Pelodiscus sinensis: one gene and its partners. The main gene of each other region encodes a partner of the protein of the gene in region 4 in a complex. Links are inferred from orthologs where the notes say so. Each region holds a gene or a part of one and is shown on either strand. Other genes may lie near its edges. The genes, in order: C3AR1, RGS16, P2RY2 and GNAO1.

Region 1 (7,422 bases), on a different chromosome or scaffold from region 4:
AATGCAGAAACTTACAATATATACCTATTAAATGACTGCATTACCACTTGAATGGCTCTTTCACAGGTTCAATATTCTGCTAATAGCTCTGGCAGGCTTTTTCACTTTTAAGTGAACTAGATCCTTTCCAGAAGAAGTATAAGCCACAGAACAGGGACAGAAGGAGGTGAGTAGGTGGACACTGAAGCCTCTGGTGCCCCAGATTTTTGGGTGCTCTACACAGCTGCATATTCTGCATATGTGTAAGGACTGCCCTGTCAAACAGGCCCTGCCCCCAAAGAACTTGCAGTCTATAACATGAGACAAAAGATGGATGGAACACAAATGAAGGGAGGCCAAGATACACAATGAAACAATAATGATTAATATAATAAACAGCACTTATCACCATCATTGTTAAGAGAGCTTTAGGCATCATAGCAAGGGTGAGTTTAAAGTAGGGACAATATGGACTATGTTTGGAAAGCTGCTCTTAAGATAAGAGGCAGCATAGCTAAAAGCACAAAGGTGCTTGAGGAAAATGGCCAATAAAGGCTTCTTAAGGTAGGGCTAAGCAGCAGAGGGCCAAAATAAAGAGTAGTCTATTATATATTTTGAAGAGTTTGTGAATTGTTTGTGCAAAATAAAGCCATACTTAACAATTACTTATAGATACCAAATTTTGCATAAACAATCCTGCCACTTAAATTAGCTGAAAGCACTACTTTTTACACCAGAATATGTTGGGTGAAAGATTTAAATAATTATTTTTGGTTTTCGTCACAAAAAACTTATGACTATTATGATTAGAGTTCATAAAAATATTTGCTAACAAAATTAAAATTGAGTCACCTGTTCAACTGCCATTTTAGTGCAAAGAAAATGTTTGCTGTTACAAATAAAAAATAATTCAAATTAGTTACAGAAAGAGTAATGGAATCTTTATGAGCTTCTGATTCAAATTTACTATGGGTATGTCTACACTTGCCCCCTAGGTCGGACTGGGGAGGCAAAGAAGCATATCGAAGTTGCTAATGAAGCACGGGATTTAAATATCCCGCACTTGATTAGCATATTAGCGGCCGGTCGCCAATTTAACTTGCCGTGTGTAGACGCAGTAGTCCAATCCAAAACCCCTCCCTCGAATTAACTGTTACTCCTCATTAGCAACTTTGGTATGCTTCATTTGCCTTCCTAGTCCAACCTAGGGGGCAAGTGTAGACATACCCTATGTGTGGTAATTATTCAATAAAATGAATAATGTTTGAAGTTGAAATCCTACAAATATAAAACTGTTCTTTTACATCCCTTTTGCAAGCACATTAATAAACAATTCTATGACATATTTCATTTCTTGAATTTTCCTGTGTTAGCTATACAAAATGACTTTTCCCAGTCAACGACGGACCTCACCTGCTAGTAGTTTATATTTGATACATGGAAGAAGGACAAGCCAATGGAGGGAAACAAAGGGGAGGTGGGTGACGTGGTCAATGAGACTTTGCAGGACAAGTAGCATTTTGAACTGATATGAGATATGTTTTCTGAGATCCCAGAGCAAGTCTAGGTTTACATTACAGCCCTACATTGGTATAACTACATTGCTCAAGGGTGTGAAAAATCCAGCACTGAGTGGCATCATCCCATTGACCTAGATTTTGGTGTTGACTGTTTCTCCCACCAATAGACCTACTACCTCTTGGGGAGATATATTAACTACACTGGTAGGAGATGCTCCCCTGTTGGCATAGAGCATCTTCCATAAGCACTGCATTGGCACAGCTGTGTGGGTGCAGCTGTGCCCTGTATAGCACAGTGCGCGAAGACAAGCCTTCAGTTTGCTAAGTGGGGAGTCAGAAAAAAGGACATTGTCCCCAGATTCAGAGGGGTAGCCGTGTGAGTCTGTAACAGGAAAAACTTACAAACCAACAAATAGTCTAGTAGCACCTTAGATAGAGACTAACAAAACATATAGATGCTACCATGAGCTTTCGTGGGCACAGCCCACTCCTTCAGGTGACAGGTTACTACTAAACTATTTGTTGGTTTTTAAGTTTTTCATTGTCACCAGAGTGCATTTGATATGGAAATCCTTGAGAGATGGTCAATGTGGGCCTCACAATGCCACTTTTCAGAGCAGAAATGCCCTTTTAATGACATTCCCAGGGAGTTAGTGACATGGCTGGAATAGAAACTAAGGCTCACTATTCCTTACCAAGTACCTGTAGTAATAAATGCCAAGTGTGCAGGCAGGAGGTAATGTTACTGTACAAACTACACACCCTTTAGAGCACTGAGGCTAACAGCCTGCTCCTGCAGTGGCCAAATCACAGGTCACTATTATTCCATCTAAAGACCACCCCGGTTCTTTTTATTGCACTAGCAGGTCCCTTATCCTTCCAGAGGAGTGCTGCTATGGAGTAACCTCTTTCACTGATACGCCACGGAGCCAAGACAGAACTTTGCCCTGGCCACATGATAAAGCTGCCTCTCAGAATATATACAGTGGATAGTAAAAAGATGCTTTGTACATACTGAAATCAATCCTGCTCCAAGACTGGGAGTTGGATGACTCCATCTAGAGAGTCCTGTCACACTCTCCCACCCAATGTTTTCTAGCTCTCTAAAAGAAAGAGGAAGTTAGAAATACAAAGATAGGGATAGAGAGACACTTTAAGAGTGACAGATGGAGGGGAAAAGCAGTAAAGAGAAATTGCAGATCAGAAAGACAGAATGCTGTCTGTCTTCTGTACATACCCCAGTACAGCAGAATCCTCAATGGATGGGGGAGCAAGAATCACTCTTTGTCTTATGCACTGGCTCTGGACTGATCAGAGAACAACTTATAAGGTGAATTTAGGAACTAACTTTTTTAAGACCACTGAAGATTTTTTGCACCCAAGCGGAAGGACAAGAATGAGTCATGCCTGCAATTTTAGATAATACAAGCTGCAAAAGATCTGGCTTGATGCTGCTGAGATAATGCAACAGTAACATATGGGCAAGGATAGTGTGCTTTCAACAAGCGGGACTGAAGAGTAAGCAAACCTAGAAGTTACTAGGGAGCATAGCTCTGTCCACTGCAAATCAAAGTTTTCATACAAAAATGTGACTCATCACATGAGATCAAAGCACATGATCTTCTCTTGCCTCTTGCCATCTAGGCCAGATTAACATTTTGTGGACTTGGTGCCAAACATATTTGTGGCCCCCATGTAGTTGTTATTGGTCCCTTTTGAGTATAGGCTTGGTGTGGCAGAGCCATAGTATTCCCAATACAGGCAGTCCCCGGGTTACGTACAAGATAGGGACTATAGGTTTGTTCTTAAGTTGAATTTGTATGTAAGTCGGACCTGGCTCCAGATTCAGCCGCTGCTGAAACTGATCAGCGGCTGACTACAGGAAGCCCTAGGCAGAGTTGCTCTGCCCCCGGCTTCTTGGAATCAGCCGCTGATCAGTTTCAACAGCAGCTGAATCTGGACTCCTGGGACAGAACAGCTGGGGCGCTGCCGGGTATGTCCCCGCAGGACCAACCCGGCAGCACCCCAGCTGCTCTACCCCAGGCGTCCCGCAACAAAAGCCTGGTCTGCTGGGGAGGGGGGGCGCGCTAGCTGCGCCCCCTCCCCCCCAGCAGACCAGGGAGACCCGAGCAAATCCGCGGAGGCGCAGAGGTCCCGCCGCCTCTGCGGCTTTGCTCCTGTCTCCCTGCTGTGCTCGGGGGGAGTCCCCCCCAGCACAGCAGGGAGACAGGAGCAAAGCCGCAGAGGCGGGGGACCCCGCCACCTGTGCGGCTTTGCTCCGGGGCAAAGGAGCAAAGCCGCACGGGCAGCAGGGTCCCGCCGCCTGTGCGGCTTTGCTCGGGTCTCCCTGCTGTGCTAGGGAGTCCCCCCCCAGCACACCAGGGAGACCCGGAGCAGCTTTTCTCGCCCCGGAGGACGCCGTGGCGGGACCGCTGCGCTCTGGGTGGTCCTGTCGCCCGCGAGCTCCGGGGCGAGAAAAGCCCCGTTCGTAAGTGCGGATCCGACATAAGTTGGATCCGCGTAAGTCGGGGACTGCCTGTACTGAATCTCAGAGGCATTCTTTCTTTTGATCACAAATCTCGGCAAGATCGTATGTACTGCCATACACAGGCTCACAGCTTCCTCAGCCTCTAGTTTTCTCATTGAGCCATACACCTAGGTGGGTTTACCAGTGTCCATGGTGAGCAGATTTCATAGTGACCAGGGAAACTCTGCACAGATTTCTCTCCTTCCTCCTCCAGACATTCTACAGCCATGTCTCCAAGACCACCTGATTTTACCAGTCACTGTATGTGGGCCTGGTCTCAGCTCAACAAAGTTTCTCAGCCACCTGATCAGTTCTGACAAATCCCTACCCCAGCACCATCCTGCCATTTGAGTCAGCTACTTGTAAACACCATTTCCCAAAGTGAGCACCTAGACCCGACAACCTGAACTCACCCACTTTCCTCCTTCAGTTCCCATCAACGTGCCGGTCTAGTACCTGGTCACCACCACCTCTCTGCAGGCTTGTTTTCCTTCTACCTTGGGTATGCTCTCCTGCCTGCTGGGGCTTCTCTCTCTCTGTAAGCCTGTAGGCCTGACTTGCTTCCTCTTCCCCTTCTCCCCTTGACCAGAAATGCCATTTCTGATTCTGGGGCAATGAGGGGTAGCTTTAACCATGATTTCATTCCACAGGCTACTTAGGCACCTGAAAACTCCTGGGCTATGTCTACACTGCCCCTATTTTGTGCAAAAAAAAAAAAAAATGCAAATGAGGCAAAGTGTGGACTATCTCTGTGCCTCATTTGCATAATTAACTAGGCTCTGTTTTTGTGCTAAACCCCCCTCTTGTGAAAGAGCCGTTCTTCCTGAAAAAAATATGGAAGAACGGCTCTTGCACAAGAGGGGGGTTTTGCACAAAAAGGAGCCATGTAGACAGCTTCTTTTTGCGCAAAAGCCTCTTGTGTAAAAACAGAGCCTCATTACTTATGCAAATGAGGCGTGCCGATATTCCACATTTTACCTCATTTGCATATTTTTTACGCAAAACCGGGGCAGTGTAGACATATCCCTGGGGGTTTTTTTGCACACGATAACTTAGAAATTAACTGGCAGGACCAGTGTTCCTAATTCTTATATAAAGAAAAAATATATACCAATTAAAGCCATATTTAAAATTTAGAACAATCAACAGCAAGATATTTCCAATTTTGGATCCATAACACAAGTTTGATACTTTGCACACTGTCTTTTGTAGCGATAACTAAAATGTTCTTAAAAACTGCTTAGCCTAGCAATTAATGTTATTCTTTAAATGTCTTATGGTCCAAATTGTGAAGAGAATGAGAGAGTTAATTTCTTCCAGGAGTGTCTAAAAGTAAATATATTACTGAGAAACAAACCACACTCCAGATTGGAAGGAGATTCCTAGTGTGTTACTCTAAGGATTTGAGAGTATAAAAATCACCTCTATGATGTTCACTGAAGGCACTCAAGTTCATGAGACTGGGCCACCTTCAGAAATACTGTAGTAAAGAGCGAGTAAACATGAGCTAAACCTAAAATGACTTATCAGTTGGAAGAGAAGGACACATAGCACAGCAGATGCATAGTTGGCTGGCTGCTTAGGGCAGCATTTGTTTGAATCTGTACATGTAAAAATACCAGCAGCTCCTTAAAAGATGTTCTGAGAAAGAATTAAAAAGTTCAATTGGAACCCTCCCGAGGAATCGCCATTTATGTGTAACAGCCTGTATGGCCCTACCTGGTAACCTGACCCAAAGCCCATTGGAGTCAAGGAAAGATGCTCACAGACAAGTGGGACTAAATGGAAGAACAGGTGGCAACCCTGGGACACTGCCAATTCCCACTTCCCCCAAAATTGGAGAGTTGGGAAAATAAGAAAGTTTGAAGTGTAGTTGAAGCAATGTTTGTGGTGCGACAGCTCATGTTTGTTTTTGACAGCAGGGAAAGATCCCTAATGGTCATTCTTTAGTTCTGCCACTCTAGCAGTGCCGCACTGAAACATCCAAAATTGAGTTAACTTGAATGTGCCTGAAGCAGCAGTCTCCTCCCCTGCCTGAGCAGCTCTGTGGCTACTGGTGTCACAAAGGGCTTCTTCCTCCCAGCCTTTTAAACATAGTAACTCATGAGGATGAGGGCAGATCATGAAATCTGCAGTCAACATCCTCTGAGCTTCCTTCCTCACCCACCCACCCCTCCTTCAACCTGCTTGCCTCAATGAATTTGTAAATAGTTCTGCAGAACGCAGCCCTGCTCTTCAATCTGCCAGATACTCCACAAAGAATAGTCAATAAGGAGGATGGCGAGGGAGAGCTTTTCAATCAGAGTGGCTAAGCCTGGGAGATGGGGTGAGAGCCTGCAGAGGAAAATCTACAGACTATGTTGCTGTTGGCTGGCTGGTGAGGAGAGAAGAGGATGCAAAGTAGGCAAGCAAGCAGCATGCTGACTGCTCACCCTTGTGTTTTGCTGCTGTTCTGTTCTTGCCAGTAATGGAATAATGGCACCAGGATCCCTGATTCTAACCCAGCTGCTCCTGATTTCAGCCAGGACCAAGCAGCCCTTTGTATTGGCTAGGCAAGGCTCATCAAGCACAACAAAAGACCCAGGCTTGGCCTTTTGTTGTGTTTGATGAGCCTGCATTCCTTTCACTCCAGTGAGCAAGAGGGGGAGAGGAGTAAACAAAAAGCTGCCTGCATTGCTCTCACTCCTGGGTAGAGGGGAAACTGGAGAAAGTGTCCTGCCATAGTAGGAAACTTGGCCGGGGGCTGCAATCACCCTTAAATGGCATCACTGCCCTGGATATTTCTTTCCTACCGGTGATCACTGTTCCTTGAAGTTAACTCCACTTTCTTTGTCTGCACCTAGCTTAATGGCCCTAGTTGTCACAGAGCCACCTGCAGTTTCTCTGGCTACAGCCATGGGGCCAATTGCTAATTGCCTTAGACCAGGCATGTCCAAAGTCCGGCCCGTGGGCCAATTGCGGCCCATGTTCCGGTTTAATACGGCCCCCGCTTCCTCCCCCTCTCCTGGCTCCCCGGCGCTCTTTTGAACTGGCGTGCCCAGCGCGCCGCTTCCGGCCGCGCCGCCGCCACCGCCCATGGCCTCCGCGGTCCTAGAGCCTGCCCTGTAGGGCACGTCCACAGCTCCGCTCCCCCGCTCGGCTGCAGGTTCGCCCTGTCCCCGGGCCGCCGTGAGGCCGGAGTGCCCTGTGCTCTCCGCCCGCCTCCAACCCTGCGGGCCCTCTGCCTTGGGGCTGAGAATGCAGGGACGGCCCTCACGCATGTTCACTTCTTCAAATCTGGCCCTCTTTGAAAAAAGTTTGGACACCCCTGCCTTAGACAGCTGCAGCTACTGCCCCAGGGGGACTGGCAATTCCAAGGCTGAGCAGGCTTGAACCTTGCAATGGCAGCACTTGGGA
Region 2 (7,613 bases), on a different chromosome or scaffold from region 4:
AATGTTGCTCCTAACCCCAAAGCTGCTGAACTATATCAATTTTCATGGGTCTCTACCGAATGTGCATTGAGAGGGGGATGAGTAGTACCCATACCCTGCAGGACAATTTGCACTACAGGGTTTTATTCTAGGCAGCTTGACAACATGCTGCATCTCCCTGACACAACATCTATATGATGTTTATGCCCCGACAGTATGGCATTGCATTGTGATGCAATGTCTCTGTGCAGGCCCGGCCAAAGAGTTTGTGGGCCCCAAGGCAGCACGCTGTGGTTGGCTGAACCACGCGGCCCCCAGTCAGGGCAGCGAGTGAGTGGGCTTGGCCGGGAGCTGGGCAGCGCAGGGCCCTGAATGCATGGGGCCCAAGGTAACCGCCTTGCCCAAAGGCCGGGCCTGTCTCTGTGCCAAGAGAGAGCCCCATGCCTTAATGGCAGCCTTACTTGGCCATGCAGCAGCTCCGATTGGTTTTTGCTTAGCTTGTTCACACAGTTATCCAACCGCTGCACTGTCCTTGTTGCATCAATGCAATGCTCTCAGGAGGGGGAAGGAAAGGGCTCCTAAAGACCGACCTCTCTTTTGTTCTAGTCTGAGAATGGGCAAACATTCCCTGTTACGCTGAACTTATGCAGCTGGTTAGCCCTGGGTCTCCCTGCCCACACAGGGTGTCTCCCCCTCATACTGTCATACAAGGGACTCATACTCACTTTTACTCTTCAGCAGGTGGTCAAAGGACTTGTTCCATTCCAGTGCCTCCTCTGAGGAATTTCTGGAAAGGAAACGCAAAGTATAAACCTTATGGAAACAAACTCTAACAAGTGCTCGATCTGGTCAAATACTCAGGGATAGGAAAGCTCCAGGACAGAAGCTGGCTACCGCATTTAGGGGAAGACAGAGGAATAGGTGAGGATAGCATCACTCCATAAAAAACTCAAGTAAGAGACCCAGCAATCTCATTATCTCTGGGGTCTTCTCTTTCTTTTCTCTTTCTCCCTCTCTTTTACTTTCCCAGATGACTGGCTAGATCTTACCTCCATAGGGTAGCTTATGGACAATAGTTTTTCCATATAAAATGCCAATTCCAGCTGGTATAAGTTCTGGCAAAGAGTTTCCCTTCAGAGAGTGAGGGTCTCCCTGGCTCTAGAGTTGACTAAAGTCCACAGACACCCTCTGCCTCCACTCTCCATTTACTGGAGTCCCCCAGACAGCTGGGGAAGTCCACGCTGGTGTCTAGCCTGAAGCTGGGGCACCACACTTTTGTTCCAGATGTCACTCGTTAGGGCCCTATTGTCTAGTCTGGTTTTTCTGACTGTCGAGCTGGGTAATGAACATTCCCCTCTGAAAATCTGGAGATGGGGCTTAGTGGATGGAGACCTGCGAGTTCTCCTGATGTATGGTGCTTTCTTCCTCATAGGGAGAGGAGCATGGACGTGATCCACTCTCGGTGCAGCTTGGGGGGGGGGGGGGGGCTGGGCTAAATTGGGGCTGGCAGGCTTGGCTTACCTGGATTTGGTGTCCTGCTCGGGTTTGCTGACACTCTCGGCTTCCTGTCCCAACTCTGGCTTATGAAGCAGGATCCCTAAACGAGTTTTGAGTTGTTTGGCTCTGAAAGACAGAAGAGGAGCCACTGGGTTTAGAATGGACCCCAAAGGCAAGGAATGGCCACTAGAGGGCAGAGGTGTGTGCTTATCAGGGAAGGCCGGTTGGTAGGCCAGGCTGGTTAGCTCCATCTCCTTACAGAAAATGCCTCATGATCCAAATATCTAGCTCTCTCCCTAAACCTAATCTGGAGACACAGGACCAAATCAAACAGGCCCGGCTCCATTCACTTTAGTTTCAGCCCCTTCCTCCTGAGCATGGCTTGACCGCTTGTTATCGATAGTATTAATTATGCGTTCCTATTTATGAATTAAAACCTTTCTCCTCCAGTCCCACCTCCTGCCACCAGACGCCACAAGAAAACTCTCAGTAGCTCCGTGGGAGACCATGTCCTTGTATGCGCTCTTCCTGTATTCACAGGTAGGGCGTGTGTGGAGGTGTTTGCCTGGTGAGTGTAGAGAGGCAGCTGCCTGCCCAGTCCGGGCCTTTCATTATTCCTCTGGCTTCCTCCTCTCCCTGGTGTCCATTAGTCAATCTCCTGACCCTCTTATCAGTAATTTTCCCTTCTGCTCTGGAGTCTCGAGGGAAATAGTGAAAACTGCTCTCTGCTCAGCCGCAGTGTGGAGACGGGTCCTGGCCCTGTTGTGTCTGCCACCCTGGGCAGACAGCCCCGTGCCACTGTGTCTCTGTCGCAGCGCCAGGACTGCTGCAGCTATTTGCAGGGCTTCTCTGCGGCTGCACAGAGGCCGCTCCCTGCCTCAGCATGTCTGCGACAGGATTGAGACACCTCTGCGACAGACAGAGGCAGCTGCCTGCTAGACCATCTTCTCCCCAGAGCAGCACCCCTCGGCAAGCCTACCGATCAAATGGGGGGTGTCTCTCGGAGATCTGTTATACAAATACGCAAAGCAGTGCCAGACAAGTAACACAGGACTCCGCATTTGCCGTCAGGTGAATTTCACTGTAAATATGTTTGCAGAAATACTCCTGCTGTTGTCAGGGCAAAGCAAGTTCTGCAACTGAAGGGCAAATCTCATGCACTGAAAACATCATAATATCAGCACAACTTCCTGTTGTTTACCCCCTCCGTTCCTCTCCCCCCGGCACCGGCGTGCCTCAATCATTCTGAGCTGGGATTTAAACCCAGCGTTCATCCCAGTTTTACAAACACAGCATCATTGCCCATGCAACAGGGGCCACAAAGTCCGGTACTGAATCTTAACATTTCTTTATCAGCTAGTCCTTTTATTTCCCAGCATCCCTGTATTCCAGAGCTACTTACCTTTCCAAGCAGGTAGCGGAAAGCGCAGCTAAACCTCGGCACATGCTGAGAACGGGGCTGGCAGGAGGGTGGAGAGCGGACAACAGGGTTAATCCTTGTCACTGCGAGTGAAAGCAACAAGCAGCTGCTGAAGGCTGGCCGGCTGCCCTGCGAGCTGTGCTTTATATCTCAAAAGAAGTGGGAGGCACGGGAGGGGCTTAGTCACACACAACTCCAACCTCCAGCCAACCACAAGCTCTGACAGTAGTAAGAAAAGATGATGATGGTTTAGGTGGGTTTCTTTTGTGTGCGTTAAGAGAGGGCGACGTGGGGGGAGAATCAGAACTGTCCTTGAACATCACAAACCTAACCTGTTCCCAGCTAACAGGAAAAACAGACTGATTTCTGTCTATAAACTGTACCTGCTCTTTAAACAGCAGACGCCACAGCATCGCTGCTGCCCCTGTCGCTGCTGTGAAAAAGTGTCTCTGCAGTAAGAGAGGTCAGGAGAATGGGATGCTGTTCTTTTTCTTAAAACAATGTATGAAAAGCACAGCAATGACCAGCTCTCCTGTTGCACTACACATACAAGCCTGGTGGGAGAACACCAGTTACCAGTGTTCCCTGGAAGCTGTGGGCTTGTGGTGCAGCAGCTCATGAAAAATTCACATGCTGCCCAGCTGTTTAGCAGAGCACCCGCAGCTAGGGTTTGTGTTTCTACTGGTGGTGCACATTCGCACATGCCTCAGTGCACATAAAATTTATTCCACACATGGATGGAACAAATGGATGGAAGGAAAAGATCAGAGGGAACATAACCAGTTACAGTGTACTTGTCTTCACTGGGATTTAAACAATGGGCCAGATTCGCCAGGAACTTTTGCACTGTTCCGGTATTCAGTAACCGTACGCTCAATTTGAATGGTTTACAATCTCCAGAGCAGTGCAAAGCAGCCAGAGCATAGGGGTGAAACTGGCCAGTGTCTGCCTTGCATTGCCAACAGGGCAAAATGGTGTTCTGACCATGCCTCCAAATCATACTGTAGGTCCATACAATGGAGTTTGGTCTCATCTGTATTTTGAAACTGTGTGGAAGGACAAGCCTTACCATTACCAGGCCCCGATAGGGTTCCAGGTGCATGCTGCTGGATCGGAGTTGCAGAGTATTTCTTCTGCTCTGCGTTTGGCAAAGGGAGAAAAGGGGAAAAGAAAAGGAGAGAAATATAGAACAAGGGAAAATGTGTGGTGGCACAGACATGCAAGAACCTGAATGAGAAAGAATAATAAATAGAAAACCAGAGAGAATGAAACAGCAGGAGGGGAAAGAGAGAACAGAGCAAGAGATAAAGACAGAAGAGCCAAAGAGAATGAGAAGGGGGCAAAAAGCTAGAGAAAGAAGATCAAAGAAGTGTCCTTATCTCTGCAATCTGCTAGTGCCCCCACTATGTTGTAACATGACATGAATTTTGCTTTACTAGGCAGGACCAAACCTTGTTTTAATCACAATGCTGAACTATAGCAAAGCCATGAGGAGATGGACAACATAGAAGAAGGGGAACACATGGATTGATTCGGTCCCTTTTTCTCTGTTTTAAGAGGCCCTCTGCTCCTCAGACTGAGACTTGAGGAAGATTTGTCTTAGCAGAGCATCACTCGCTCCATGGCCATGCCAAAGGCGCTACTGAAACAGCCGAATGCACAATAAAACCGCTTCTGACAGAGCTGCAGCTCTCAAGCAGGATCCTGCTGCTGCACCGTCTCATAGGCCACATTGTGCTGCAGTCTGCGGTGCCAGAGAGAGAAAAAGAAGCAAGAGAGACCTGCAGACAAGCTGTAGAGAGAGATCAGTGGCCAAGAGCAGAGGATAGCTGGGTGGATAGGATGCAAGAGCAATGCTGACATTCTGTCTCAAGCAGTGACCAATACAAAATGCTAGAGGAGGGTGTAAAACCCTTGTGGTGCGCACATATGACAGCCACACAAGCACAGTCTAATGCTCTCCAGAGTGGAAAAGCAGTTCTCTCCCTGAGTAACATCTGCTCCAGCGCTGACTACAGTCACCATGATGACGGTTTTTCAGCATTAACTCTTTGTGGTTCCCTGTTTTCATTGCACTCTCTGGACAGCAGTTGCTAATCTCTCAGTGCTTACATGCCTCATCTTTCAAATACAAATCTGAGAGTGCTAGTTCTGCTTCATCCTGCCTGCCTCTCAACCAGCCCCTTGGCTACTGGGAGCCCATCCGCCAGGCTGGACGTTTTCCACAAACTCTTGACTCTCTCATCTGTCCAGGGGCTTTGTGTGCGTGAGTCGGTAATGTCATGGGATAGAGATTTCAGTCTGCCTGCTGCAGCAAACTCAGGACAACTGCTCATGTCAGCTGCTTTAGCAGCACCTCTGAAGCACGTTTTCATCTTCCTAGCAAGGTCTGTCCAGCAAAGGAATAGTAGAACTGGCGTATGATACAGGAAATAATAAATACATTGCCATAATAATAAGGGGCCAGATTCATTGGTAGCGATGGGTTGCTTAACCAGTGTGTTATACTAAGTTTATAGCTGCTTTGGATCACTGGAACAGCTGAAAATATCCATTGCATACCAGTTGCCCTGGATCTTTATCAGAGAATCATAGAATCATAGGACTGGAAGGGTCCTCGAGAGGTCATTGAGTCCAGCCCCCCGCCCTCAAGGCAGGACCAAGCTCCGTCTACACCATCCCTGACAGATGTCTGTCTAACCTGTTCTTAAATATCTCCAGAGAGGGAGATTCCACCACCTCCCTTGGCAATTTATTCCAATATTTGACCACCATGACAGTTAGGAATTTTTTCCTAATGTCCAATCTAAACCTCCCCTGCTGCACTTTAAGCCCATTACTCCTTGTCCTGTCCTCAGAAACCAAGAGGAACAAATTTTCTCCTTCCTCCTTGTGACACCCTTTTAGATATTTGAAAACTGCTATCATGTCCCCCCTTAATCTTCTTTTTTTCAAACTAAACAAGCCCAGTTCATGAAGCCTGGCTTCATAGGTCATGTTCTCTAAACCTTTAATCATTCTTGTCGCTCTTCTCTGTGCCCTTTCCAATTTCTCCACATCTTTCTTGAAATGTGGCGCCCAGAACTGGACACAGTACTCCAGCTGAGGCCTAACTAGTGCGGAGTAGAGCGGCAGAATGACTTCACGAGTTTTGCTTACAACACACCTGTTGATACAACCTAGAATCATATTTGCTTTTTTTGCAACAGCATCACACTGTTGACTCATATTCAACTTGTGGTCCACTATGACCCCTAGATTCCTTTCTGCCATGCTCCTTCCTAGACAGTCGCTTCCCATCTTGTATGTATGGAACTGATTGTTCCTTCCTAAGTGGAGCACTTTGCATTTCTCTTTATTAAACCTCATCCTGTTTACCTCTGACCATTTCTCTAATTTGCTAAGGTAATTTTGAATTATGTCCCTATCCTCCAAAGAAGTTGCAACCCCACCTAGTTTGGCATTATCTGCAAACTTAATAAGCGTACTCTCTATCCCAATATCTACATCATTGATGAAGATATTGAACAGTACGGGTCCCAAAACAGACCCTTGAGGAACTCCACTTGTTATCCCTTTCCAGCAGGATTTAGAACCATTAACAACAACTCTCTGACTACGGTTATCCAGCCAATTATGCACCCACCTTATCGTGGCCCTATCTAAGTTATCTTTGCCTAGTTTATCAATAAGAATATCATGCGAGACCGTATCAAATGCCTTACTAAAGTCTAGGTATATGACATCCACCGCTTCTCCCTTATCCACAAGGCTCGTTATCCTATCAAAGAAAGCTATCAGATTAGTTTGGCATGACTTGTTCTTCACAAACCCCTGCTGGCTATTCCCTATCACTTTATTACCTTCCAAGTGTTTGCATATGATTTCCTTAATTACCTGCTCCATTATCTTCCCTGGGACAGACGTTAAACTGACTGGTCTGTAGTTTCCTGGGTTGTTCTTATTCCCCTTTTTATAGATGGGCACAATATTTGCCCTTTTCCAGTCTTCTGGAATCTCCCCAGTCTGCCATGATTTTTCAAAAATCATAGCTAAAGGCTCAGATACCTCCTCTATCAGCTCCTTGAGTATCCTGGGATGCATTTCATCAGGACCTGGTGACTTGCTGACATCTAACTTTCCTAAGTGAGTTTTAACTTGTTCTTTGTGTATCCTATCTTCTAAACTTACCCTCTCTCTGCTTGTATTCACTACGTTAGGCACACATAGACCCTATACTGTCTCAAACACCATTCCACAGGTGCACAGGAATCTGGTAAAGATCATTCACTTACTAGATGCTATGCTCATTCAGTTCCAGGGTGGGAGAGAACTGTGGTGTTTCCTGGTACCCAGGCTGGGAAGACCCTTGTCACAGGTCAGCTCCCTAACGCCATTGGCCACAGGCCACACAAACACTGGCCCCTCTTGGCTTGGCAGGCACTCCTGTCACTCTACAGATGAGCGATAGGCACGCTCCATCCAAAGAGCAGGCCCACTGCTTCCAAAGAAACAACACCCTAGCGTAGCAGTCACTCCTCACAACAGCGCTCCGCTTAACACACAGCAGCACTCAGGCATGTTGATGGTGAAATCAGGCCTACGTTTATTCATCAACGCACAGAGAGCCAAGTAGTAACAAGTAGAAGTATTGGGAACAAATGCTTGTGTATAAAATAAAGTCATAGCACACATTCTAGAAGAGCCTAGAACTTAA
Region 3 (7,716 bases), on a different chromosome or scaffold from region 4:
TCTCTTCTACCCTACCCTATGTCATTGGTACCTACACGTACTACTACCACGGGCTCCTCCCCAGCACTACACATAAGACTATCTAGATGTCTCGAGAGTTCCGCAACCTTCGCACCAGGCAGGCAAGTCACCATATGACTTGCACAAGTCACCATATGGTTCTCCCAGCTATCACAAACCCAGCCATCTATGTTTCTAATGATTGAATCCCCCTTTACCAACACCTGCCTTTTCCTAACAGCTGCAGTTCCCTCCCCCAGAGCTGTCTCCTCAATGTGAGAGGATACCATAACATCCTCTGGAAGGAGGGTCCCAACTATGGGATCATTTCCCTCTGCTCCAGTTGAATATTCACCTTCCCTGAGCCTTTCATCCTTAACAGCACAGGGGCCGTCTGATCAGAGGTGGGACAGTTCTACAGTGTCCCGGAAAGCCTCATCTATGTACCTCTCGACCACCCTTAGCCCCTCCAATTCAGCCACCCTGGCCTCCAAAGCCCATACACGGTCTCTGAGGGCCTGGAACTCCTTGTACCGAATGCACACATATGCCAGCTGCCCACAGGGCAGGTAATCATACATGCTACATTGAGTGCAATAAACAGGATAGCCCCCACTCTGCTGCTGGGCTTCTGCCTGCATTCTCTCCTACAGAGGGTAATGATAGGGTTTTTATTTAAATCAGGAAGTTTTGTTTTTAGTTTAGTTTAAAAATTTTCAAGGAATGGCAAGTGACCCTCACCCCCTTCAAACTCCCTCTCAAATCTCCCTGTTAGCTGCCCCAGGTTGCAAAGCTCTCTGGTCACTTACTCATGGGCTTTATAAAGCCCTCACCTTTCTGATAGCCCCGCCCCCTGGCTAAGGCTCAACCAATGAACAGAGGGTTCTAGATTTCAAATCTTTAAGCAGCTTTGGTCTTTACATAGGCTTTGGTCACCTCAGTGCCTGTCTGCTGTGCTGATCAGGGCTCAGGTCCCTAGGGCCTCTTCACTGGTATCCAGAGTATGGATGTGAAAGACTAGTCGACACACTAGTCACTTCCCCTCCCTTGCTGCCTCTATCAGAAAGAGGGGGGGGGGGGGGCGGGGGAGCGCTTCAAAGCTGCAGCGCTGTGTGGAGCCTGAGGCCAGACCCTGGGATCCATGCAGTGCTGCTGCTTTGAAATGCCAGGGGGAGCCAGCTGGGTTTCCCCCACTGGGACTCCCCCACTGATCTGGGGCTCCATGTGGCACTGCTTTGAAACACAGCATGCAGCCCTGGGCCAGCAGGGGGCTGCTTGAGTCTCCCCCGCTGGCCCCATGCTCCCCACAGCGCGGTTGCTTTTGAAGTGGAGCAATAGTCCTGGGGCTGTTGCTCCACTTCAAAGGTGGAGGGGCCCTTATCGACTCATCAAGTAGCTCATTAATTGAAATGTAGCATCCCTCGTCCAGAGGCTGCTCAGGGAGGGAAGAGAGGTGCTGGGCGCTGCAGGAAGATGGGCTAGGCAGTGCCTGCCCTGCAAAGCTTAGAGTCCGGCCCCTGACACAGGTGGAGGCAGCCAACAACCAGGCCTACTCCCTTCTCCCTGGCCCAACCCTGTCGCTTGCTCCAGCTGGTCACTCGCCTCTGCCCCCGGCGCCCCCTCCTCCCCCCGCCAGCGGTCCGGGGAGGAGCTGGTAGCGGCGAGGCGGAGTCCCAGGCCCCTCCTGCCCCTCCCGGACCTGGCGCAGCGCGGCACCCGGCTCTGCGCGCTGCTGGGCGCTCGCGGGCCAGAGCAAAGCCCGAGCGGCGCCCAGCGCTCCGCTCCCGCCCGCCGCCTCCCGCTGGCTTGGGGCAGCGCAGCCCCGCGCCCAGTCCCCACGTGCGGCCGGAGCGTGTTCGCAGCGGCGCTGCCCGCCTCCCCCGACTGCGGAGCCAGCGTGGGGCCGGCCGGGAGCTTTCTGGCTCCAGCTCGAAAGGGGAGTTTTCCCCAGTGGGTCTCTGCTCCGGGCTTTAGAGCCTGGCTTGGCGCTCCTGGGCGGGGAAGGGCCATTCAGCCGCGGCAGGGCAGCCCCTGCCACGCCGCTCTCACCCCTCTTCACAAATAGCCCCCGGCAGCCGCCAGCGAGCGAGCAGAGCCCAAAGCTGCCCTGTTGTTAGGGTAGGAGAGAGACACCGAGACAATCAGCAACAAGTGACGCCGGGTGATTAGCTGGGTGTGGGCGCGCGAAACACGCACATACACACAAGCCGGGTCCAATGTTCAAGCAACACAATTCCCTCGATGTTCAGCTCTTCTCCCCGAACCAAAGATAAGTCCTGGAGAGGTCAGTTATGGGGAGTGTACAGTGCTGGGGACAGGGACACACACATACACCCCTTAGTTCTGAGTGTGAACACACACACAGATCCCCCGTAGTTCAGAGTGTGAACACACACACACATACACCCCTTAGTTCAGAGTGTGAACACACATACACCCCTTAGTTCAGAGTGTGAACACACACACACATACACCCCTTAGTTCAGAGTGTGAACACACACACACATACACCCCTTAGTTCAGAGTGTGAACACACAGATCCCCCTTAGTTCAGAGTGTGAACACACACACACAGATCCCCCTTAGTTCAGAGTGTGAACACACACACACATACACCCCTTAGTTCAGAGTGTGAACACACACACACAGATCCCCTTAGTTCAGAGTGTGAACACACACACACAGATCCCCCTTAGTTCAGAGTGTGAACACACACACACATACACCCCTTAGTTCAGAGTGTGAACACACACACACATACACCCCTTAGTTCAGAGTTTGTGACCATCGTTCCCAGACAAATCTGAGTAGAGGGGAAAGAAGGGGAGGAAAGAGAAAACACCGATGATCAAGCTTAAATCTCACACTCACAGATTTGTTGTTCCAAGTCTCTAGGAAGACCGTTGTCTTCTGGCTGCCTTCAAGCCGCGCTCTCCCTGGTCACTTTCATGCTCAGTTGTGATGGAAAGTGATTTGCAGTTTCTTTGTCGCTTTCCCCTCCTTCCTGATAGAGGAGAGCCTACACTGTGAGTAGCAGCAGTTTCTATGAGCGCCTGCCTGTCAAGGCAAGCTCGCCCTTTGCTTGCCGAGGGAGCTCTGCTTACTGCTCTGACTGCTCAGCCGCCTGGCGTGGAGAGGCGGAGTGCAATGCAATCAATGCCAGTGATGCCATCTCCAGCCAGCCCACACTAGTTTTGCTATAATAACTATGGGAATCAAACCGGTTTCCAGCTGCCAGAGCAACAAAGAGTTTTGTTCTAGTTTGGATCGATGACTCTGACCTACGGGGAGCAAGATGGGCAGATGTAAAAAGCAACCCAACAACTCACAGCCATCCGAAGTGGCCAGTGGACTTTTTTCAGGGAGTGCTTTGCTTTCCCTGACCACAATGGAGTCAGAATCAAATGCAAATGGGCTCCAGATGCCCATAATGAATCCAGATGTAGAACAGCCAGCATCTTAGCTGGTCAGGTGTTTGCTCTCTGTCCAGTTTATATGCAACATGCAGATTCTGCAAACTAAAATTCTGACTGCAGAGTGTGAGTGTTTGAATCTAGAGGTTTGGGTGATACAGATCTTTGAATTCCAGAATCCAGCTCTGATTTTGAACATGTTCCTGCATACAGCCAAATGATTTTTTTTCAATTAATAGGTTTTCTGAATCCTGAAATCTATTTGTGGAATTCGGGTCAAATTCAGCAGAAGAAATGGACTGGAAAAAATTATTCAAAAGTCTCAATGTTTTGTATCAGAGCAGTTGTTTTGATGTGTCAATTCTAAACTAAATGATGCCATTTGGCTTGTTTAAAAAACATACCCTTAAAAAGGAGCAAAAAACCCCTCCTGGTACAGCCACTTGAAAAGCACACTTGAAAAGAAATTCATTTCTAATTGACTCAAAATGATTTTTAAATGTTTTTTTGTTCAAATGAAAACTGTCAGGAGAAAAATTGCTTTCAGTTGAACTGAAATTATTATTTTTGGTTCAGTCTCCGCCACAGAAAAATCACTCAGCTCCACTCTCACTTGTGTGTGGTGATTACCATGTTGCCAACTCTCTTTTTATCATATGACTCATGATATTTGGTGGTTTTATTAATGTCCCAGCTTCTGGAGTCATGCTATTTCACAAGAACTGCTGCTTTCATTTAAAGCAATGGAAATTTATTTTATAGCCCTTGGGGATGCAGAAAAATGTTGGAATATGTGACCTGTGTGCACCCTGAAGGCAAATAAAAAGAACACAACAATTATTATTTTTAAAAATACTGTGATTTTTTTAAACCAATGACATGATTTTCAGGGCATGGCTCACAGTTTCTGAATGGCTGTGTCTAGCAATAGTCAGGTCAGGTGTACTCAGAGTTGGGGTGTTGTTCTCCACCTGTTTTGAGAATAGGTGTAAATGCTACTGAACCAGAAGGACACCCTCAGCTGATCAGACCAAAGTGGGCTGCCCAGGCTGACATACACAAGCAGCACCTAAGTATGAAACATATAACTAGTCTCGGAGCTCAGAGATGTAGTCTGAAAGATATGTGCCATAATGTTGCTCTAGTCTAGGGGAAGACATTTACATGACTTACATGGCAAGCAGGTGGTTAAGATGCCTTCATTTAGTTTATAAGTGCAGTGTTCTCACAAGGACAATATATTCAAGCACCAAATTGCGCATTCAGCTTTAAAGGGACTCTGTAAACTTGAAATCCAGGGTGCTGATCAATTAAAACAAAAAAGGTAAAACTAGTTTTGGTTACTACACCTAGCTCGGAATTTCAAAGACAATTGCTGAGGTTTTACAATCCCATTTTCCTACTTTAAAAAAATATTTTCCTCCCTTCTTTGTTGCTCTGTGAAAGACTCCCCCACAAACAAAGGAGAAACAATTAAGGGCTCGACTATGCCTTGTGGATAAGGGATAACGAGCCTTGTGGATAAGGGAGAAGCGGTGGATGTCATATACCTAGACTTTAGTAAGGCATTTGATACGGTCTCGCATGATATTCTTATTGATAAACTAGGCAAATATAACTTAGATAGGGCCACGATAAGGTGGGTGCATAATTGGCTGGATAACCGTAGTCAGAGAGTTGTTGTTAACGGTTCTAAATCCTGCTGGAAAGGGATAACAAGTGGAGTTCCGCAAGGGTCTGTTTTGGGACCCGTACTGTTCAATATCTTCATCAATGATGTAGATATTGGGATAGAGAGTACGCTTATTAAATTTGCAGATGATACCAAACTGGGTGGGGTTGCAACTTCTTTGGAGGATAGGGACATAATTCAAAATAACCTTAGCAAGTTAGAGAAATGGTCAGAGGTAAACAGGATGAGGTTTAATAAAGAGAAATGCAAAGTGCTCCACTTAGGAAGGAACAATCAGTTCCATACATACAAGATGGGAAGCGACTGTCTAGGAAGGAGCATGGCGGAAAGGGATCTAGGGGTCATAGTGGACCACAAGTTGAATATGAGTCAACAGTGTGATGCTGTTGCAAAAAAAGCAAATATGATTCTAGGTTGTATCAACAGGTGTGTTGTAAGCAAAACTCGTAAAGTCATTCTGCCGCTCTACTCTGCACTAGTTAGGCCTCAGCTGGAGTACTGTGTCCAGTTCTGGGCGCCACATTTCAAGAAAGACGTGGAGAAATTGGAAAGGGTACAGAGAAGAGCGACAAGAATGATTAAAGGTCTAGAGAACATGACCTATGAAGCCAGGCTTCATGAACTGGGCTTGTTTAGTTTGGAAAAAAGAAGATTAAGGGGGGACATGATAGCGGTTTTCAAATATCTAAAAGGGTGTCACAAGGAGGAAGGAGAAAATTTGTTCCTCTTGGTTTCTGAGGACAGGACAAGGAGTAATGGGCTTAAAGTGCAGCAGGGGAGGTTTAGATTGGACATTAGGGAAAAATTCCTAACTGTCAGGGTGGTCAAATATTGGAATAAATTGCCAAGGGAGGTGGTGGAATCTCCCTCTCTGGAGATATTTAAGAACAGGTTAGATAGACATCTGTCAGGGATGGTGTAGACGGAGCTTGGTCCTGCCTTGAGGGCGGGGGGCTGGACTCGATGACCTCTCGGGGTCCCTTCCAGTCCTATTATTCTATGATTCTATGATTCTATGCAATTACTTGGAGTGTGGCAGGGGCATAGGTGTAGCTACAAGTGGACCTGATTGAGCTGTGGTCCACCGCCTTAGCATCCAAGCCCACCCAAACTGGAGCCAGAGCTCCCCAAATCCATGCACATGGGGGAAGGTCTGGGTGATGCTAGCAATGAGGGACCAGCAGGAGAGTGATGCAACAGGGCAGTAAGGAGTCCTGGGGGGGAAGCAGGGCCCCCATTCCTCTTGCTCCCACTGTGACGTAGTGTGGGTACCTTGCTGGTTGCTAGGCTTGGGTTATGAGTGACCTCCACTGGCTGCTGTCTGCAGCACGGCCCAGCAGGGCAGGGGGTGAATCATTATGCAAGGGGGCTTCGAACCTGTCTGACCAGTTATCTCCCAGGGAGCGGAACAATGGGAAGAAGGGGAGTGGAGCCTTGGCTGGGGGCAGGGCTGGAAGTGAGTTAGTGAGGCTTCTGGCTGGTATCATGGAGGAAGCAGCCTAGGCAACGGGCTGGGATTTAGGGGCCAGGCTCCCCTATCTCAAGGGGGGCTGAGGCATCCTAGGCCTGCCCTGTAACCAGATTACATCTGTGCTGTGCTGTATCCTGGAGAAGCAATAAACTCCCTCTATTCTACTGGCTGGTGGAGTCTGTCCGTGCCATTACGGGGGTGCAGGAGACGGGAAAACCCCAACGCGCCGTCACACCCTCTCCCCAGGGCAGCCGGTGTTGGCTGTCCAGCTGCTCCCAAGGTGGGTGGAAGGACTCGAGCCTCCAACCCAGTGCTCCCCAGGCAATATCCCCTAAGCAACTCCAGAGCCCACCCCACCTCCCTACCTTCAGTGGTTCCCATCTGCACCTCCCTTCTTGCCTCTCTCCTTAGAGCACCAGATCCGGCCCCTCCCTTCCCCATGGCACTGGATTCCTCCTGCACACCCGATCCTTCCTGTCCCCATTCCCCCACACATCATTGCCCATCCACCTGAAAGCTTCCCCCCCGACACACTTTGTTCTAGCTATGCCACTGCTGTGCAGCATGATGAGATGTAAATGTACAGCACACGCGCATGTCTGGATCCTTCTGCACGGCAGTAAAAGACCCATCACATGGCTGTCAGCTGACTTGGGCTCACAGGGCGCAGGCTGTGGGGCTAAACATTACAGTGTAGATATTCAGACTTGGCTGGAACCCAGGGTCTGAAACCCCATAAATGGGGAGGGTCTTAGAGCCCAAGCCCCACCTTGAGCGCAAATGTTCACCCTGTAGTTTTTGGTCCTGCAAACCAGGTTAGTCAACTGACCCAGGTGGTGAGATTTGGTGCTGTGGCTTTTTTATTGCCATGTAGACGCAGAGGTGAAAGTAAGTGGGTGCACCTGGTGCACTGCTCCAGCAAGAACTGGCTGAGCTGCGGCAAAAACCAGCAGGGAGCTATTGAAAGAGCTGGCAGGGACCCAGGTTGTAATAGGACCGTACCAGTAAGAAATGTTAAGTTACTTTCACCTCTGTGTAGATGTATCCTAAAAGTTCTGCAATGCCTTTTGCGGGGAGTACATCAGAGAGGGCCAGGGGACTTTCAGCAGGCAGAAGCTAGGTCCACATGGCTAGGTTGG
Region 4 (6,986 bases):
AAAATGTAGCAGAACTCAGCACCACCCACCCCTGGCATGGGCTGTGGACCTACACATGGAGGAGAACCGGTCTGCCCTCCTTCATGGAAAAGTTCCTCCCACTGCTGGGTGTCTGCCTCAACTAGGCCCTGCTGACATTGCAGTTGCCATGGTAAGAGTATCAGAGGGGTAGCCGTGTTAGTCTGAATCTGCAAAAGCGACGAGGAATCCTGTGGCACCTTATAGACTAACTGAAGTGTAGGAGCATAAGCTTTCGTGGGCAAAGACCTACTTCGTCAGATGCATGTAGTGGAAATTTCCAGAGGCAGGAATAAATATGCAGGCCAGGATCAGGCTGGAGATGACGAGGTGGATCCAATCAAGGAGGCTGAGGCCCACTTCTAGCAGCTGATCTCCAGAGTGGCGCATCCCTCAGTTGCTCCCACAGGGCAGGCTTCAGGTTTGGCTGTGCAGGGCCCAGCTGGGCAGGACAGACTCTTGTGGTGTGAGTGGCCAGTGCCCTCCCCCTTCCCTGGTAGCAGGTTAGGCTGCCCTGTGTTCGGCAGCAGTGGGAGGAGCCCGCAGGATGCAGGTGGGGGCTTGGGGTCCTTCAGAGCTTTGCACTTAGGGGACTTGGTCTGGGGGAAGGGGTTCAGGCACTTCAGCACCCACCCCCCAGGGTGCCATGGACCAGACCCCCACAGGACTCTGCCCCCCAGCAGTGCTGGACACCACGGGGTCACCTACTCACCCACCCCTGCCTCACTGTGCTGCACCTAGCCTCCCTCCCCCCCATATCCCTGAACCCCCCAAAAACACCCTAACTACAGCCCTATTCCCAGGGGCACCCTGCCCCCATCAACCTGAACCCCCTCAGCCACTCTGCACCCCAGCATTATCTGCAGGCACTCTTAGCCCCCATCTTCCTCCCTCCTTACCAGGCACCCTCCCTCCTGGCTAGACACCCTACCCCAAGCCTCCTGCATCCGCTTTGCTCCTTGCACCTTCCCTCCTGGTCACACATTGCACCCTCCCTTGCTCCTGCTCCCTCCTCCTAGCCAGCCACCCTACTCCCAGCCTGCTTCTGTACCCTACCTCCCACCAAGACCTTGCAACCTCTTCCCCTTCTGCACCCCACCTCCCTTCCAGATCCTGCCCTTATTTCTATCCCACTCACTGGCAGCCCTGTCCCACACACTGAACCCCTCATTTTTGTCCTCACCCCAGAGTCTAAGGAGGTCTATAAAATCCAGTAACTCCAGAACACCAGAAAAGTGAATCTGGCCTATGGGAAGCCCTGAACTTCAGTCCTCTCTGTCTCTTCCCCTCGCCCCATCAGGCTGGAGCACCAGGATTGTGAGGGGGGGGGGGTGTTGGAAGAGAGTTTTTTTGCTTCTCACTTGTGTGGACCCCAACTGATTTTTCTGTGGGTCAGTGGCTCCTGACACAAAAAAGGTTCCCCACCCCTGCCATAAATAAAGAAAACATTGAAACCTTTTGTGTTGGACATAAATTAATATTTTACTTTATTTAGAATGAAATTTTATAAACGAACATGAGACAGTTAAAACTCTTAATCTGTTTAATGACTTAAATTGAACCATTCTCCCTAGCTGCAGCCAATAGCAAAATGGCTTGAGTGTAATTACTATATGTAATTAATGATGAGTTTACATTATCAGCTTGTGGTCCGCAGAAAGTTTCACATTGGGTGGTCCGTGGGCTAAAAAGTTTGAGAACCACTGATCTAGCCTATTATCCTGTCTTCCTACAGTGGCCAATGCCAGGTGCTTCAGAGGGAATGAACAAAACAGGTAATCATCTAGGCTATGTCTACACAGCAGCATTAGAGGTGTTTAAGTCTCGGCTTGACAAAGCTCTGGCGGCTTTGATTTAATTGGGATTGGTCCTGCCTTGGGCAGGGGGCTGGACTTGATGGCCTTCTAAGGTCTCTTCCAGCTCTATAGTTCTATGATTCTGTGATTTCAGAATAACCGATGTTATTTCAAAATTACAAAGTGGCTGTGTCTAGACTGGCCAGTTTTTCCGGAAAATCAGCCGCTTTTCCGGAAAAACTTGGCAGCTGTCTACACTGGCCGCTTGAATTTCCGCAAAAGCACTGACTTCCTACTGTAAGAAATCAGTGCTTTTTGCGGAAATACTATGCTGCTCCCGTTCGGGCAAAAGTCCCTTTTGTGCAAAACTTTTGTGCAAAAGGGCCAGTGTAGACAGCTGAGATTTGTTTTGCGCAAAAAAGCCCCGATCGCGAAAATGGCGATCTAGATTGGCCACAGACGCTTTTCCGCAAAAAGTGCTTTTGCGGAAAAGCGTCCGAGCCAATCTAGATGCTCTTTTCCAAAAATGCTTTTAACGGAAAACTTTTCTGTTAAAAGCATTTCCGGAAAATCATGCCAGTCTAGACGTAGCCACAATGTGTTTCTACAACGCAAGCTGTTACTATGAAATAATTTAGAGATGGAGGACTTCTTACTTCGACTCCTGTAACCCTCATTTCATGAGGAGCAAGGGAAGTTGAAGGAAGAGAGTTCTTCCTTCGACTTCCTGCTGTGTAGACCATGCCAAAAGCCGAATTAAGCTATTTCAGCTTTAGCTTTGCAATTGATGTACATGTCTCTGAATGAACCTAGGATGGGATTTCATCAGGGAAAACCTTTTGTCACTTCTTTCACTGTCTCCTCTCCCACCTGGTACCAAATTTGCCCAGGCCTAATAAAGTTCATCTCTGCAAGTGTATAAACTTCCTAGAATCAATTATTATGCTCCTTCTGACAGCAGGACCTACAGGTGCTAACCAAGACACAAAACCCATAGTGCTAGGCATGCATTGTACATACACAGATGTACTGTGTAAATGTATGCACTGTACAGTACATATATAGTCCCGGCCCACAAAGAGTTTACAGTCTAAATAAAAAAGACAAAAGGTGGCAGAAAGAGGAGAAACTTCTTATAGAGGAGAACTGAAACACAGGGGAAAAAAGTGACCTAAGGCCAGCACAGGAAGTGGCAAAACCAGGAATTTAACCAGGTCTCCTGCAGCCCAGGCCCAGCCTTTCCTCTCATTATTACCAAAGTAGCACTAGACAAGCCCTATTCACTACACCAGTGTTTCTCAACCTTTTTTTTTTATAAAGAACCCCTTTTCAAAAAAACCAAAATTATAAGTACCCTCAGTACCTAGTTTTCAGACACACAATTTTTTTGTCTACCATTGCACCCCATTTGTTTAAATAACTTAATTTTAGCTGGGCAGGCGATGAAATTTTTGGGTGTAAAATGTACAAAAATAATAAAGCGCTGTCAAACTTCAAACAAAAATTCAGTTCTCTCCAAATTTCAGTTGTTGACGTCCCCCCCCCCCCCCCCCAGCCTTCTCTCAAGTTCCCCTAAGGGTACTTCTACCACTGCTTGAGCTACACTGTATGTACAGAAAGGCCAGTAAGGAGAATAATCATTTGCACTGCTAAAACAGCTCCTACTCCAGGCACTCCACCAAGCCATGAATTCTGCTTGGGAAAACTGAGGTCACTGCTGAAAGGTCACAGAGTGAGCTCGGCTAGCCCCCGGCCTTGGCACGGGGCAGCATGCATGCGAGGAAAGGGGAAAGACGCCTTTGAACCTCACCGAAGTCCATTGGCCTGGCAGAGCTTTCCTGGAGGGGTCAAAGGGAGACAATGACGAGTTGTCCACCCGCAGGCTCCTTCCTCCCCGGCTCCAATTGTTTCCCAACTCGCGCAGGCTGCAGAGCGCACAGGGCCCTACCTAGGTACCCCCCGGGGCTGCTCCCCGCCCTCCTCTCGCTGGATCCTCGCTGCACCTAGGGATGGAGCGCGCGCTCTCCTCCTGCCAGGAGCCGCGGGAGCAGCTGCTCGCGGCCCGGGAGCGCCAGCAGCCCACCCTGCTCTGGGAGCATGCGCGGGCGGGCGCTGCGGACGTCACCAAAGCAGGCGAGCCCGTGAGTGCGGACCCCTGGCGCAACTCCCCCTCCCTCCTTCCCTCCCGCCCGCTCGCTTTCCCCTTCTGCTTCCCTCTCCGCCAGGAGCCGCCGAACGATGCGATCGCTCGCAGCCATCGCCGCCGCCCATTAGAGACCCCACAGCCTGCATCAGAGGAAAAAAACCCTCCAGCCAAAGCAGGATCCACCCTTTCCCCTCCCCCCGCCGAGCCCTCTTCCTCCTCCTCCTCCTCCTCCATCAGGAAGAGCTCAGCCTTTTTTGCACCAGCCCCGTGCCTGCCTGCAGCCCTAGATCTGCCCGGCTCCCCCTTGGATGCACTGATTGCTAGAGAGAGGGAAAGGAGGGAAGGGCATTCACAAGAAAGGGGAAACGTATTTGATTGCCCAGATTTTTTCCTGGGGGTTCATTTTTCCCCCCTTTCTCTTGGAGTGTCTGAGAAGGGGAGAGGCGGCCGCCGAGGGTTTTTTTGGCCATCATGGGATGTACACTGAGCGCAGAGGAGAGAGCTGCCTTGGAGAGGAGCAAAGCGATTGAGAAAAATCTCAAGGAGGATGGGATCAGCGCCGCCAAAGACGTGAAATTACTCTTGCTAGGTAAGCAGCAGCTCCCCCCCCCCCCCACTCCGCCCCGCCGACCACATCCCTACCCATTTCCTTAAGTCATGTTTTCTTCCCATCTGTGCACATTCTGTCTTGGGAAACTGTATTTCACCAAGATAACCCCCTCCGTTAACACAGCTGCTCCCTTCTGTGTAATTTCCTTTATCTCCTTATGTTCTCACGTTCACTGGATCTTTTCTTTCTGTGTCTGTCCCAACAGGGGCTGGAGAATCTGGGAAAAGCACCATTGTCAAGCAGATGAAGTAAGTCCTTTGGGGCTAACGCCCTAGAAGCGTCGATCATTTGCCTTGAAAAAATCTAGACATTCCTCTGATTTTCTTTGGAGGGGGGAGCTTGTGAGAAGGGGCTTCTTTAGTTGTAAGAATGCCTGTGACCGCCATATTTATCTGAGAATTACTGTGGTTATCGTGTTGTGGCTTGTGGACCCATTAGTATGGCACATCTGTAGCAGTGATTTCTAGTGGGGAAAGAAGATGGAGGGGGATCCAGCCCTTTGCTCACCGAGGATGACCAGGTGTCTGCTGTTCATGGGGTTGGTGCTGAATTGGATGTGGTGTGGTTTCTCTTTTCCCTCTCATAAGGTGTGAGAAGCTGCCTGTGGTTGGGGGTGGGGTAGGATGGGTTTCGTAGAAGATATGAATGGCACAGATGAAACCAGGACATCATCATCCTCTGCATTTAAGCTTAATGTCAGGTTTTTATCTCCTAGGCTCTCTCCTCTCAAAACACACACTCCCTTCCGTGTTTTACCTCCTGACGTGAGCTGCTGGGCCGGCTCCCTGTATTTGTTTATTTTAAAAATCTGCCTGTAATGCGGATTTAAAGCAAGGCTTGCTGCCACTCAAAGCCCTTTTTACCCGAGATTTCCGCCTTTCCTGTTGATTAATTAAGACGTTGGCTGCTGATCACCAATGAAAATTAAGGGAGTTTTAAAAAAAGAACAGAACATTAAAACAATTACACAAGGAAACCTGCTCCGCTGTAAAAGCCCTTTCCAAATCGGAACATTGTTCCTCTGTCTTCCCCTCCCTCAACCCTCTCTCCGGGGCATGGATGTATTTTAAATCTCACGAGGCTGTCTGGAAGAAAGCGGCGAACTGCTGCGGTTGTGTAGGGTTGGACTTGCCCAGGGGTTCTTCTGTGACACCTTTGTGCGCGCACACGCTTGCTAATTGGGCAGTTGCTATGCCATAAACGCGCGCACACACATTGATTCTCTTTCAAGTAAGCAGTGATGGTGGGGGGGGGGAGGCGAGGCAGGCTAGCGAAAGGGGGGGAGGGTATTTTTATTTTGTAAGTACATGAGAAATGTCGGGCTTACCCTGGAATAGCCATGACAAGCTCATTCAAGGTGGCGCCATCACTGAGCAGCCCCTGATCGCAGGCTTAGGAGCGTCCCTGCTGCTTGGTTTTAAAGGCCCAGGGCGGGTTTGTTATTGATCGGTGCAAGGCTGATTGCAAAGGGAGTTGCTACGCTGACCCCCTGGGGGAGGCTCCGAGAGCGATGCCCAGCAGCGGGTGTGGCGGCCTGTCATTGCCAGAGGTGGCCTGGGGGAGCGGGCCTCCCTTGGAAGGCTTTGAGCAAAGGGAGGGGACTCTGCCTGCAGAGCGGCTGTCGGCCGGGCCGGTCCCCACGCCGCGGCGCCAGCTGCGAGCTTTCAGGCGTTCCGAGTGGTGGACAGCGCCCAGCAGAGCCTGGAAAAGTCGATCGGCCCCGGCAGCTCGGCAAAGCTCGGCGGCCGCCGGGAGCCTGCCTCGGCGGCGTTCGGAATCTGTCGGGAGACACAGAGCAGCGTCGGAAATGGCCGAAGGGGTTCGGAGCCGCTCGGTGCGCTGCCCTCCCCCGCCCACCGCACACGTTCGATGCATTGTCGAGCGATCTGCAGGTTGGGTCATTTTGCCATTGAACAGGATCGGTCCCTTCCCTTCTGGGCCCCACCCCGCTCTCCAGCTGTTTGCCATTTTGCCACCCGGGGGAGGGACACTGTGATCTGTTTTCAGAGAAAAATAAGGCGACTTCCAGAGAGGGACGGGGAAGTCCAGTTTTCCATGGCTTTAGCTGCTTTGGCAGTCCTACCAGACATCTCCCATGGCTTTTTATAGCGTTGTTTGTGTTTCAGTAAAGACACACTCAGCTTTCAACTCCTTGGAAAGGTTTGCAGTTACAGGTTTGTCCTTTGGTTTATTGGAAAATTTGGAGTAGGAAAGGGAGGGTCTGGAGCAAATTAACATCAATACATTAATAAATGCATCTGTCCATTAGATTGTCTGCAATAGACTTATCCAGGTATGGCTTTGTGTGTGTGTGCTGACATCCATGAATGTATCCCTTCCCTTCAACCAGAAGAGAACACATTGAAATCAGCCTTAGAGATGATGGGTTGTAGGATGAGTCTGGAGCAATGTACAC

Evidence for each region.
Region 1: the proteins of GNAO1 (region 4) and C3AR1 are in contact, whole or in part, in a cryo-EM structure (PDB 8I95), measured with the Homo sapiens proteins. The link is inferred for Pelodiscus sinensis from reciprocal best matches to the Homo sapiens genes GNAO1 and C3AR1. Residues at the interface, in NP_066268.1 of Homo sapiens: Ile28, Ala31, Lys32, Asp33, Val34, Asn194, Leu195, Ser264, Asn316, Glu318, Tyr320, Asp341, Ile342, Ile343, Ile344, Ala345, Asn347, Leu348, Arg349, Gly350, Cys351, Gly352, Leu353, Tyr354; in NP_001313404.1 of Homo sapiens: Asn57, Asp119, Arg120, Val123, Val124, Pro127, Ile128, Gln131, Asn132, Arg134, Asn135, Tyr356, Ile359, Arg362, Gly366, Arg367, Phe368, Ser371, Lys374, Thr375, Val378, Leu438.
Region 2: the proteins of GNAO1 (region 4) and RGS16 are in contact, whole or in part, in a crystal structure (PDB 3C7K), measured with the Mus musculus proteins. The link is inferred for Pelodiscus sinensis from reciprocal best matches to the Homo sapiens genes GNAO1 and RGS16. Residues at the interface, in NP_034438.1 of Mus musculus: Glu64, Asp65, Gln68, Ser75, Arg86, Thr117, Val180, Lys181, Thr182, Thr183, Gly184, Ile185, Val186, Gln205, Arg206, Ser207, Glu208, Lys210, Lys211, His214, His236, Glu237, Asp238, Glu239; in NP_035397.2 of Mus musculus: Glu85, Phe86, Ser87, Glu89, Asn90, Glu124, Ala125, Pro126, Glu128, Val129, Asn130, Asp132, His133, Glu134, Leu161, Lys164, Asp165, Ser166, Arg169, Lys172.
Region 3: the proteins of GNAO1 (region 4) and P2RY2 are in contact, whole or in part, in a cryo-EM structure (PDB 9K20), measured with the Homo sapiens proteins. The link is inferred for Pelodiscus sinensis from reciprocal best matches to the Homo sapiens genes GNAO1 and P2RY2. Residues at the interface, in NP_066268.1 of Homo sapiens: Ala31, Lys32, Asp33, Val34, Leu195, Gln305, Glu309, Glu318, Ile319, Tyr320, Cys321, His322, Met323, Val334, Phe336, Thr340, Asp341, Ile343, Ile344, Asn347, Leu348, Gly350, Cys351, Gly352, Leu353, Tyr354; in NP_002555.4 of Homo sapiens: Asn66, Ser68, His130, Arg131, Gly134, Val135, Pro138, Leu139, Leu142, Arg143, Met221, Arg224, Leu225, Ala229, Tyr230, Gly231, Thr232, Ser233, Pro237, Ala239, Lys240, Lys242, Ser243, Arg245, Thr246, Leu308.

The regions. Positions count from the first base shown.
Region 1 is NC_134711.1:132,724,285-132,731,706, reverse strand, and holds the start of C3AR1 (C3a anaphylatoxin chemotactic receptor), read right to left. Parts: upstream 3,012-7,422; 5' UTR 2,737-3,011; intron 1-2,736.
Region 2 is NC_134719.1:57,909,127-57,916,739, reverse strand, and holds the start of RGS16 (regulator of G-protein signaling 16), read right to left. Parts: upstream 3,008-7,613; 5' UTR 2,923-3,007; coding exon 2,879-2,922; intron 1,603-2,878; coding exon 1,505-1,602; coding exon of another isoform or gene 1,501-1,504; intron 1,064-1,500; coding exon 960-1,063; intron 769-959; coding exon 705-768; intron 1-704. UniProt on the Homo sapiens protein: Regulates G protein-coupled receptor signaling cascades. Inhibits signal transduction by increasing the GTPase activity of G protein alpha subunits, thereby driving them into their inactive GDP-bound form.
Region 3 is NC_134711.1:320,713,311-320,721,026, reverse strand, and holds the start of P2RY2 (P2Y purinoceptor 2), read right to left. Parts: upstream 3,006-7,716; 5' UTR 2,872-3,005; intron 1-2,871. UniProt on the Homo sapiens protein: Receptor for ATP and UTP coupled to G-proteins that activate a phosphatidylinositol-calcium second messenger system. The affinity range is UTP = ATP > ATP-gamma-S >> 2-methylthio-ATP = ADP.
Region 4 is NC_134722.1:44,556,823-44,563,808, reverse strand, and holds the start of GNAO1 (guanine nucleotide-binding protein G(o) subunit alpha), read left to right. Parts: upstream 1-3,972; 5' UTR 3,973-4,431; coding exon 4,432-4,549; intron 4,550-4,775; coding exon 4,776-4,818; intron 4,819-6,986. UniProt on the Homo sapiens protein: Guanine nucleotide-binding proteins (G proteins) function as transducers downstream of G protein-coupled receptors (GPCRs) in numerous signaling cascades.